Callithrix jacchus: one gene and its partner. The protein of the gene in region 2 binds, or shares a complex with, the protein of the main gene of each other region. Links are inferred from orthologs where the notes say so. Each region holds a gene or a part of one and is shown on either strand. Other genes may lie near its edges.

Evidence for each region. The genes of interacting proteins can lie anywhere in the genome.
Region 1: the proteins of SNAP29 (region 2) and VAMP8 are in contact, whole or in part, in a crystal structure (PDB 4WY4), measured with the Homo sapiens proteins. The link is inferred for Callithrix jacchus from reciprocal best matches to the Homo sapiens genes SNAP29 and VAMP8. Residues at the interface, in NP_004773.1 of Homo sapiens: Leu206, Leu209, Ser210, Leu213, Leu216, Lys217, Ala220, Leu221, Met223, Gln224, Ile227, Glu228, Gln230, Asp231, Leu234, Leu237, Thr238, Val241, Asp242, Leu244, Asp245, Ile248, Lys249, Thr251, Glu252, Val255, Arg256, Leu258; in NP_003752.2 of Homo sapiens: Leu16, Glu19, Val20, Val23, Ile26, Met27, Gln29, Asn30, Arg33, Ile34, Arg37, Asn40, Leu41, Leu44, Lys47, Thr48, Asp50, Leu51, Thr54, Ser55, His57, Phe58, Thr61, Ser62, Val65, Lys68, Phe69.

What each region holds. Positions count from the first base shown.
Region 1 is NC_133515.1:27,443,106-27,447,345, reverse strand, and holds the end of VAMP8 (vesicle-associated membrane protein 8), read left to right. Parts: coding exon 1-107; intron 108-2,528; coding exon 2,529-2,669; 3' UTR 2,670-2,986; downstream 2,987-4,240. UniProt on the Homo sapiens protein: SNAREs, soluble N-ethylmaleimide-sensitive factor-attachment protein receptors, are essential proteins for fusion of cellular membranes.
Region 2 is NC_133502.1:193,238,989-193,243,937, reverse strand, and holds part of SNAP29 (synaptosomal-associated protein 29), read left to right. Parts: intron 1-77; coding exon 78-176; intron 177-3,945; coding exon 3,946-4,103; 3' UTR 4,104-4,949. UniProt on the Homo sapiens protein: SNAREs, soluble N-ethylmaleimide-sensitive factor-attachment protein receptors, are essential proteins for fusion of cellular membranes.

The sequences.
Region 1 (4,240 bases), on a different chromosome or scaffold from region 2:
AGGTGGAGGGAGTTAAGAATATCATGACCCAGAATGTGGAGCGGATCCTGGCCCGAGGGGAAAACTTGGAGCATCTCCGCAACAAGACAGAGGATCTGGAAGCCACAGTGAGGACGGGAAACCCACTGGGGGTTGGAGGAAAAGAGGGAGGAAGGGAATTTCTTTTTGGTGGGGCAAAATAAACACGAGGGCCAGAAGTTAGCCATTTCTGTTGCTTTTCACCAGGTTTGGGAGCTGATATGAGCAGTCTCTACTTCTGAATCTGCTCTGATCCACAGATTGTTAGGGATCCCAGGGAATGGATCCCATGACTGGGGCTTGAGGTGGCAGCTCGCCCATAGAGGCATGTTCTGAGACCAATAGCTCAGTCAGCCCCTGCATTCTTAGGATTCTCTCCTGGGAAACTGAATTTCCCTTTGAAGCCTGCCCAAGACAATCATTTGCATCTGACCTTCCCAGGGCAGAAATATTGGCTCTGAGGAAACTCCCCTATGGCCTCTAGCCTTCTCTAGGAGCTATTAGGCAAAGGGTGAGAAATTGCTGGCATCTTGGTAAGTTGGCTTTAAAAACAAGCTGGAAAGAGCAGTAAAATGCTTTGATCCCAGGGTCCCCTGCTAGATGAAGGCTAGAATAATATCTCCCACACATCTTGCTAGACCTCATTCCTCTCTCCAGCCAGGGGCTGAGGCCAGCTGTTTCAGGGAGGAAGTAACTCCAAAGTTGAGCAAAGCCTGGAGCCTCAGGTTCTGTGTTCGGGGAGAGGCCTGCTCTGGCTTTCTGAGTTCTGTGTGAACTCCTGGCCCTTGAGTACTGCTCCCTTGTCTCCCTGGGACTCAGTGCCTGTTTCTGCAGCTTAAACGTAGCTTAATTTGGAGAGCACAGCCTAGGGACTTTTTTTTTTTGAGACGGAGTCTTACTCTGTTGCTGAGGATAGAAGTGAGCTCAGAGGCACAATCTTGGGTGACTGCAACCTTCACCTCCTAGGTTCAAACGATTCTCATGCCTCAGCCTCCTGAGTAGCTGGGATTACAGGTGTGCATCACCACACCTGGCTAATTTTTTGTATTTTTGGTAGAGATGGGGTTTCGCCATGTTCGCAAGGCTGGTCTCAAACTCCTGACCTCAGATGATCTGCCCGCCTTGGCCTCCCAAAGTGCTGGGATTACAGACTTGAGCTACTATGCCCGGCCAAGCTCTAGGAAATTCAGTGTCTCTAACTCGAATTGCTGGGGATGGGAAAGAGTGGGTGGAAGAGGAGGAGTTCCCTTACTTCCAACCCTCTGTCCTGTCCTGGTCCCTCCTTCAGCCTCAGCAAGGAGTCTTGGAGCTGGGAGAGGTGCCCACCTGGAGCCTGCACTCCTCAGTCCCAGAGTCTGCCCTTCCAAGAGCAGACTGTGCTGCCAGTGTTGTACCTTTGGGTGTGAGCAGGTTTCAAGGACCCCTCAGTGTGCATGGCAGTGCAGGGGTAAGAAGAGAAAGGGAACCCCTAGTCGTATCTAGGTAGCGACCTCCCAGGATTTTAAGAATTCTAAATTTCAACCTGGCCTTCCAGATTTTTAGGAAGGTATATTTGTCAAGGTAGGTGGATAGAGCATCTTTTATTTAGTAGTTTGTTACCTCAGCTTACAGTGTCAGTATTATGATGTATGGCTTGAGCAGGGTATGGTGGCATGTGCCTGTAGTCCCAGCACTCAGGAGGCTGAGGAGGCAGGATTGCTTGAGCCCTAGAGATGGAGGCTGCAGTGAGCTGAGATTGTGCTACTGCACTCCAGCCTGGGTGATAGAGTGAGACCCTGTCTCAAAAAACAAACAAACAAACAAAGCTGGGCATGGTGGCTCATGCTTGTAATTCCAGCACTTTGGGAGGCCAAGGCAGGCGGATTGCCTGAGGTCAGGAGTTCAAGACCAGCCTGGCCAACTTGGTGAACCCCTATCTCTACTAAAAATATAAAACTTAGTTGGGCATGGTGGTGCACCCCTGTAATTCCAGCTACTTGGGAGGCTAAGGCAGGATAATTGCTTGAACCTGGAAGGCAGAGGTTGCAATGAGCTGAGATTGCACCACTGCAATCCAGCCTGGGAGGCAGAGTGAAACTGTCTCAAATAAACAAACAGACAGATGTCTAGCCTTGTAGGCCCAGTGTGGTGGCTCATGCCTGTAATTCTAGCACTTTGGGAGGCCCAGGTGGGCAGATTACTTGAGGTCAGGAGTTCGAGACCAGCCTAGCCAACATGGTGAAACCTCATCTGTATTAAAAATACAAAAGTTTGCTGGGTGTGGTGGTGGGTGCCTGTAATCCCAGCTACTCAGGAGGCTGAGTGAGGCAGGAGAATCACTTGAGCCTGGGTGGTGGAGGCTGCAGTGAGCCAAGATCTCGCCACTGTACTCCAGCCTGGGCAACAGAGTGAGACTCCATCTCAAAAAAAAAAAAAAAAGATGTATGGTCTGTGGGCTGCATTTGTATTCTTGCACTCTTGTTTCAGTGGGAGGAGCCACTGGGTCACTCACTCTGCCTTATCCTCAACAGTCTGAGCACTTCAAGACGACATCGCAGAAGGTGGCTCGGAAGTTCTGGTGGAAGAACGTGAAGATGATTGTCCTTATCTGCGTGATTGTTTTCATTATCATCCTCTTCATTGTGCTCTTTGCCACTGGTGCTTTCTCCTAAGTAACAGGGAACCTCTCCCACCTGCCCTTCTCTTCAGGGACAACCCTCCATAAATGAGTGCCAAGAGAGGTCTCCTTTCCTGTCCTCCTCTACAGAGAATGCTGCTCAGTCCTCCTGCCCCTCTTCCCACGGTCCTGCTGCCATGTTGTATGCCCCAGAGGGCACCTTGGTCCCCTGGAAGGAGAGGGAAAAAGAGAGCTGGACTGTGGCTGCATTTCACAGGTCCTTAGAGTGGGTTGGAGAGACCTAGAGGGCCTAGCATGTGGCTGGGAAACTATCAGTGGCCAGTGGGCAATAAAGACCTTTCAGTATCCCTATGTGTGTGAGGAGGCACTTTTTCCCTTCCCATTTTGCCTTTGGCTTTTCTATTTCTTTTCTTCCCGAGGATACCTTCTGGGTGAGGTTCTCCCATTTGAGGTCCAAGTTGTTGGAGGGGCAAAGAGTATATGTTTGGAGAAGAAAGATGGAGCCCCCATGTCTTTCTTTATTCCTCCCTGTTCCATTTATTGTCACAGGTCTCAAAAACAAGAATTTTCTGGGAGTCTTGGCATAAAGAAAATTCAAAACCTTCATAGCATTTTGGGGTGGTAGATGAGATTTTTAAGTGTTCCCGTTGGGTCCTGCCATGACCCTTTAGTACTGTTCTTCTGGAGTTGTTAGCTAAGGCATGAAGCCTACCTGGACAGAGCATTTACAAGCTGGTTGAGGGCCTCCTGCCTCTTCTATCACAGCCATCTCTCTTCAGCAACCCTGTAGTCTAGAGTCAAGGGCTGGAGGAACTGGACTGCTATTCCTTTCCTTGTGCTTCTGCGTGTTCTAGCTGTCTTTTCTCTGTCCCTGTCTTCTGGGACTTAGCAAAGCCTCTGGGTCTCAGCTGTTCTGAGGGGGTGAGCGTCTCTCCTCAGCATCCCATGGTTGGGCACAGTCAGTCAGTCAGTGTCACAGGACAGGGCCAATGGTCCTCTTTCCCATCCGTGCACAATGAGCCTTTCTGTCTCAGACGCCCCTCCTCCCTACCAGGTTCCATCATCACTGTCACTCTTTCCAGTGCCCAGTCTGCCTTGGTTTGCAGGGAGGGTTCTTGCCATATCTGTTCCTGTTTCCTCCACAGGCTTCCAGAATTGGAAACAACCTGTTGTTGGGAGGAAGGGAAAGGGTTGGGATTTAGGATTTGGGACTAGATTAGCAAGTCAGGCTCTGCAAGAATCATGCTCTGTAATTTGGGGAGGGAGGAGGAAAGGTCAGAAAAGACCCTTGTGGTATTTTTATTTTTATTTTTTTGGAGATAGGATCCCATTCTGTTGCCCAGGCTAGAGCACAGTGGTATGATCACGGGTCACTGGGCTTAAGAGATCTTCCTGCTTCAGTCTCCCTTGTAGCTGGGACCACAAGTGTGTGCTACCATGCTTGCTAATTTTTAAAATTTTTGTAGAGACATGGTCTCACTATGTTGCCCAGGCTGGTCTTAAACTCCTAGGCTCAAGTAATCCTACCACCTTGGCCTTCCAAAATGTGGGTATTATAAGTGTGGGCCACTGTGCCCCACCTTGGGGTAATCTCTGCTACAACTA
Region 2 (4,949 bases):
AATTGTTTTGGGTATATGAAACAGCATTTGAAGAAATGTCAAGTAACTGCTCTCATGGTGTTTGCTTCTAAACTTAGACCCTATCCCTAGAGGGGCTGGTTCTGCTGTGAATACTGATGCTTACCCGAAGAACCCACACCTTCGAGCCTATCACCAGAAGATCGACAGCAACCTAGGTAAGACTGAGCACCACACCAGCTTCTGTAAGCCACTGTCCTTCAGGCAGCTCTCACCAAGCACAGCCCCTGCATCAGGAGCCTATAGCTTCAGCTCCCTCACCACACATCACATCCCACACTAAGCCAGGTCCATTTTGCCACTTCACTGTCTCTGGAATCTGTCCACTTCTCACCATTTCCTACTTCCAGCCCAACTGAGCCGTCCTTACCTCTCTTTCATGATAGCACCCAGGGACCCAGGAGTCCCTGAGAGGCCATCGAGTGTAGCCTGGACATGACCGCTCACTCCATTTTTCCCATTGGCCACTCAGAGCCCTGTTTTCCTCTTCTGTGAAACGGGATGCCTCTGAGAACAATGGGACAATTACCTGAGCCAGAAAGTGCCTGGCATGGTAAAAGTTAGCACTAGTGTTGCAATTGGCACTTTGGTGACACAGCCTCCAGCATGATGTTTCAAAACAGAAGCGAGTGCAGGGGGCTGGGCGCGGTAGCTCATGCTTGTAATCCCAGCACTTTGGGAGGCCTAGGCGAGTGGATTGCCTGAGGTCAGGAGTTCAAGATCAGCCTGATCAACATGTGAAACCCCATCTCTACTAAAAAGATAGACATTAGCCGGATGTGGTGACAGGTGCCTGTAATCCCAGCTACTCGGGAGGCTGAGGCGGGAGAATCGCTAGAGCCTGGGAGGTGGAGGTTGCAGTGAGCTGAGATTGCACCATTGCACTCTGGCCTGGACAACAAGAGTGAAACTTGGTCTCAAAAAAAAAATTAAAAGGGAGTGAGGGGGTATATTCTTCCAGAACTCTCTCATGGAACCCACACACACTCACCATGCAGTCCAGGCTCTCTCTGCCTGCCCTAGTACCTTCTGCCCTCATCACCTGCAAGCTCATGTGAGATTTCTGATATGAGTTCTTTCTGCCTCGTGACCCTTATCTGCCTGGAGTGGCCTCCTCCGACTCTGCAGGCTGGCTCCTTCTCCTGTCAGTCTTGCATTAGTGTGGCGTCCTCTCCCCATCTCTTGGGGCCCTTGTGTTTCTAGGGGGCTGCCCTGGTCATTTGTGATTGTGTATCTGCTGGTTTGCCTGCTGTCTTCCCAACCAGACTGCAGATTCCAGGCAGCATGGGAGTGTTTCCATTTTGTCACTACTTTGTACCTGGGGCCCAGCAGGCAAGCACTTAGTGATTATTTTTTGTTTTGTTGTTGCTGGTGTTTTGTTTCGTTTTTTGAGATGGAGTTTTGCTCTTGTTGCCCAGGCTGGAGTGCAATGGCAGAATCTAGCTCACAGCAACCTCTACCTCCTGGGTTCAAGTGATTTTCCTGCCTCAGCCTCCCGAGTAGCTGGGATTACAGGCATATGCCACCACGCCCAGCTCATTTTGTATTTTTAGTAGAGACAGGGTTTCTCCGGGTTGGTCAGGCTGGTCTCAAAATCCCGACCTCAGTCCCGCCTCGGCCTCCCAAAGTGCTGGGACTGTAGGCATGAGCCATCGGACCTGGCCAGTGATTATTTATTGGAGAAGTCAGTAATTTAAGTAGGTACTGGCTTGTGGGCAGTTCCGTGTCTTTGTTCTAGGTAGTGTCTCAGACTTGCTGCCTCCTCTTACCGCTGCTCCATTAACAGAAATCTCCCCCATGGTTACCTGGGTCACCCTGTTAGTCTCCCAGCCCCTGTTTGGAGCTGGCAAAGTGAAGAGGAGAAATAATAAGATTCCCACCCCCACCCCCACCCCCCGCCCACTGCTGTAAAGATATCTAGTGGGAGGCAAAACTGAAACTCATGAAGATGCACATGGAGTGTCTACGCACAGGCTTGCTCCTGCTCACTCTCTGGGAAGCCCCAGACAGCCGCCGCCTCCTTCTGTTTCCTGGACTCTGTTCTCCAGAGCCAAAGACTTCTCCGAGGTAGAAGGTGTGTCTACCCAGATCTGACTACTCCAGAGAAACCCAGAGAGGCTTGAAAGCCCTTTGTCCTTCACCAGGAGAAAGGGAGTGGTTAGAGCAGGTGGTATGGTTGGTGCCTGCTGGCAGGAAGTGGGAGAAGGGACATTGATGAAGGATACTGAATTCCAGGAGACAGGACAAAAAGCTAAGTACTGCCCGCCACTAGGGGTCTAAGGGTGCACAATTGGCACTATGGACTTGCAGCTGGGCAGGTCCTGGCAGGACGAAGTCTAGAGTAGGAGGTAGGCCAGGGCAGAAGGGCGGGTGGCTGGTTCAGAGCTTGGCCCTCCAGCCCTGCTGACACAGGTCAGGCCAGCCACTCTGGTGGGGCAGGGGGTGTTGCTTTTGCTCACACTCTTCCCATCTTAACACACCCTCCCTGCTATTTCTGGAACTCAGGCAGGCTCTTGACTCCAGTGCCCTTGCCTGGTTGCTTTACATTATCACACATTTTATCTTAGCCTCACTGTTTGCTTATCCTTTGCTGCCCTGGCTGCCAGTGAGCTTCCTCCTGAGGTCTGAGGCAACCACAGGCTCTACTCCATGGAGCATGAGGCCATGAGTTTCAGTAAGCTCCAGAAGCAAAGAGCTGAAGACTATCTTTTTTTTTTTTTCTTTCAATTTTTAAATTATACTGTTTTTCTCTTTCTTTTCTTTTTTATTGTTGCTTAGGCCAGTCTCCAACTCCTGGGCTCAAGCAATCCTCCCACCTCAGCCTCCCAGAATACTGGGATTACAGGCATGAGCCACTGTGCCTGACCTGAAGATTATCTTTTTATTTTTTTATTTCTTTTTGAGATAGAGTTTCACTCTGTTGCCCAGGCTGGAGTGCAGTGGCCCAATCTCAGCTCACTGAAGGCTCTACCTCCCAGGTTCAAGCAATTCTCATGCCTCACCCTCCCAAGTAGCTGGGATTACTGGCATGCACCATCATACCCAGATAATTTTTGTATTTTTAGTAGAGATGAGGTTTCACCATGTTGGCCAGGCTGGTCTCAAACTCCTGATCTCAAGTGATCTGCCTGCCTCGGCCTTCCAAAGTGCTGGAATTACAGGCGTGAGCCACCGCACCTGGCCTATCTTTTTATTTTATTTTTTAAATGGACTCTTGCTCTGTTGTCTAGGCTGGAGAGCAGTGCGTTGATTTCAGCTCACTTGCAACTTTCTCCTCCCAAGTTCAAGTGATTCTCCTGCCTCAGCCTCCTGGGTAGCTGGGAATACAGGCATGTACTACCACACACAGCTAATTTTTGTATTTTTTAATAAAGACAAGGTTTCACCATTGTTGGCCAGGCTGGTCTTGAACTCTCGATGTCAAGTAGTCCACCCACTGGGGCCTCCGAAAGTGTGAGGATTACAGGTGTGAGCTACCGCATACAGCCTGAAGACTACCTTTTTAAAAAAAACTCATTTCACTTAGATGTGTGGTGCCAATGCTAGGCATTTGTTTATCCTGACCTTTTTTCGCTTAGTGTTTTATATTTCATCTTGCAAATAAGAAGGCTTACAAAGCACCACCACTTCTCCCTCCCCTCTGGCTCTTTCCTGGCTGCTGTTCTTAGAAAAAAGGCAGAAAGCAGCCCTGGGCATGTCTCCCTACCCCAGCGTGCACAAACACACAGTCACAAACCTGGGAAAAAGGCTTTTCTATTTACCCTGATATAATCAGTTAAGTCAAGACTCATCTCTGCAGTAAGTGCAGTCCCACCAGGCGACAGATTCCTCGGCATGTCTCTCCTCCTTACCCACACCATCAGGAAGCATTTGCATGTGCTGAGACTGTGTTTGCTCAGGCCTGCGTATCATTTCCTTCCCCAACAGATGAGCTGTCCATGGGATTGGGCCGTCTGAAGGACATAGCCCTGGGGATCCAGACGGAAATTGAGGAGCAAGATGACATTCTTGACCGGCTGACAACCAAAGTGGACAAGTTAGATGTCAACATAAAAAGTACAGAAAGAAAAGTTCGACAACTCTGAAGACAGATGGATTTCCACTGTTGTGATGAAAAAGATTTGAAAGATCTTTTTTTGAACTTCCAAGAAATTTCATTTACTGTTTTAGTATGTAAATTAATGTGTGTTTGCAAATGTTAGAGTAGATCTTAAGACATTTTGCGGTTATAAGGAAGTGTTTGTTCCACATTTTCCTAGGGTTAACACCTCGACAATTTCTTCCAGCAAAATGCTTAGAGTTTCAGTCTGAGCACAATAGCCTGGCCCTGCATATCTTGGGTATTTGATTACCAGATGGGAATAAGAAGAGTTGCATTTCTCACTTTAATGAGCGTATGGAAAGATGCAGATGGAATTTCAGTCTTACAGCCACGAGCCTCTATTTCTTATTCCTAAGCCTTACTATGAGTCAGAGTGTTAAGGGGGCACGTGAGCCAGTCATTTGGTAGAGGAAGGTCCTTCCCACACCTTTGTTTAGGAGTCGTCATTCACACACATGTACACATACAGTCATACACACACACACACACTCTGTCCAAACACGTCTTATTCTTTCATCTCCTGGAAAGGATCAGTATTAGAATGGGAAATGGAGTGTGTTATGTTCTTTGCTCTCGTTGGCAGATGTCCCCACTTCCCTCCAGCCTCCAATCCTTGGCATGCGTGTTAGTAGAGACCAGTGCTACTCACTGTGACTCCTAGAAATGTGCAGGGAATTGGCTGAGCCCCTCTTCCCCATGTGCTCTCATCTGGAACTCTCCTGTGATTGGGAACAGGTCTTCCACTGGCTCGAGGCTGCCAGGCTGTGACCGGCAGGGGCACCCAAAAGAGTATGTGGGAATGGAGTGTCACACAGATGTGGCTGTGCAG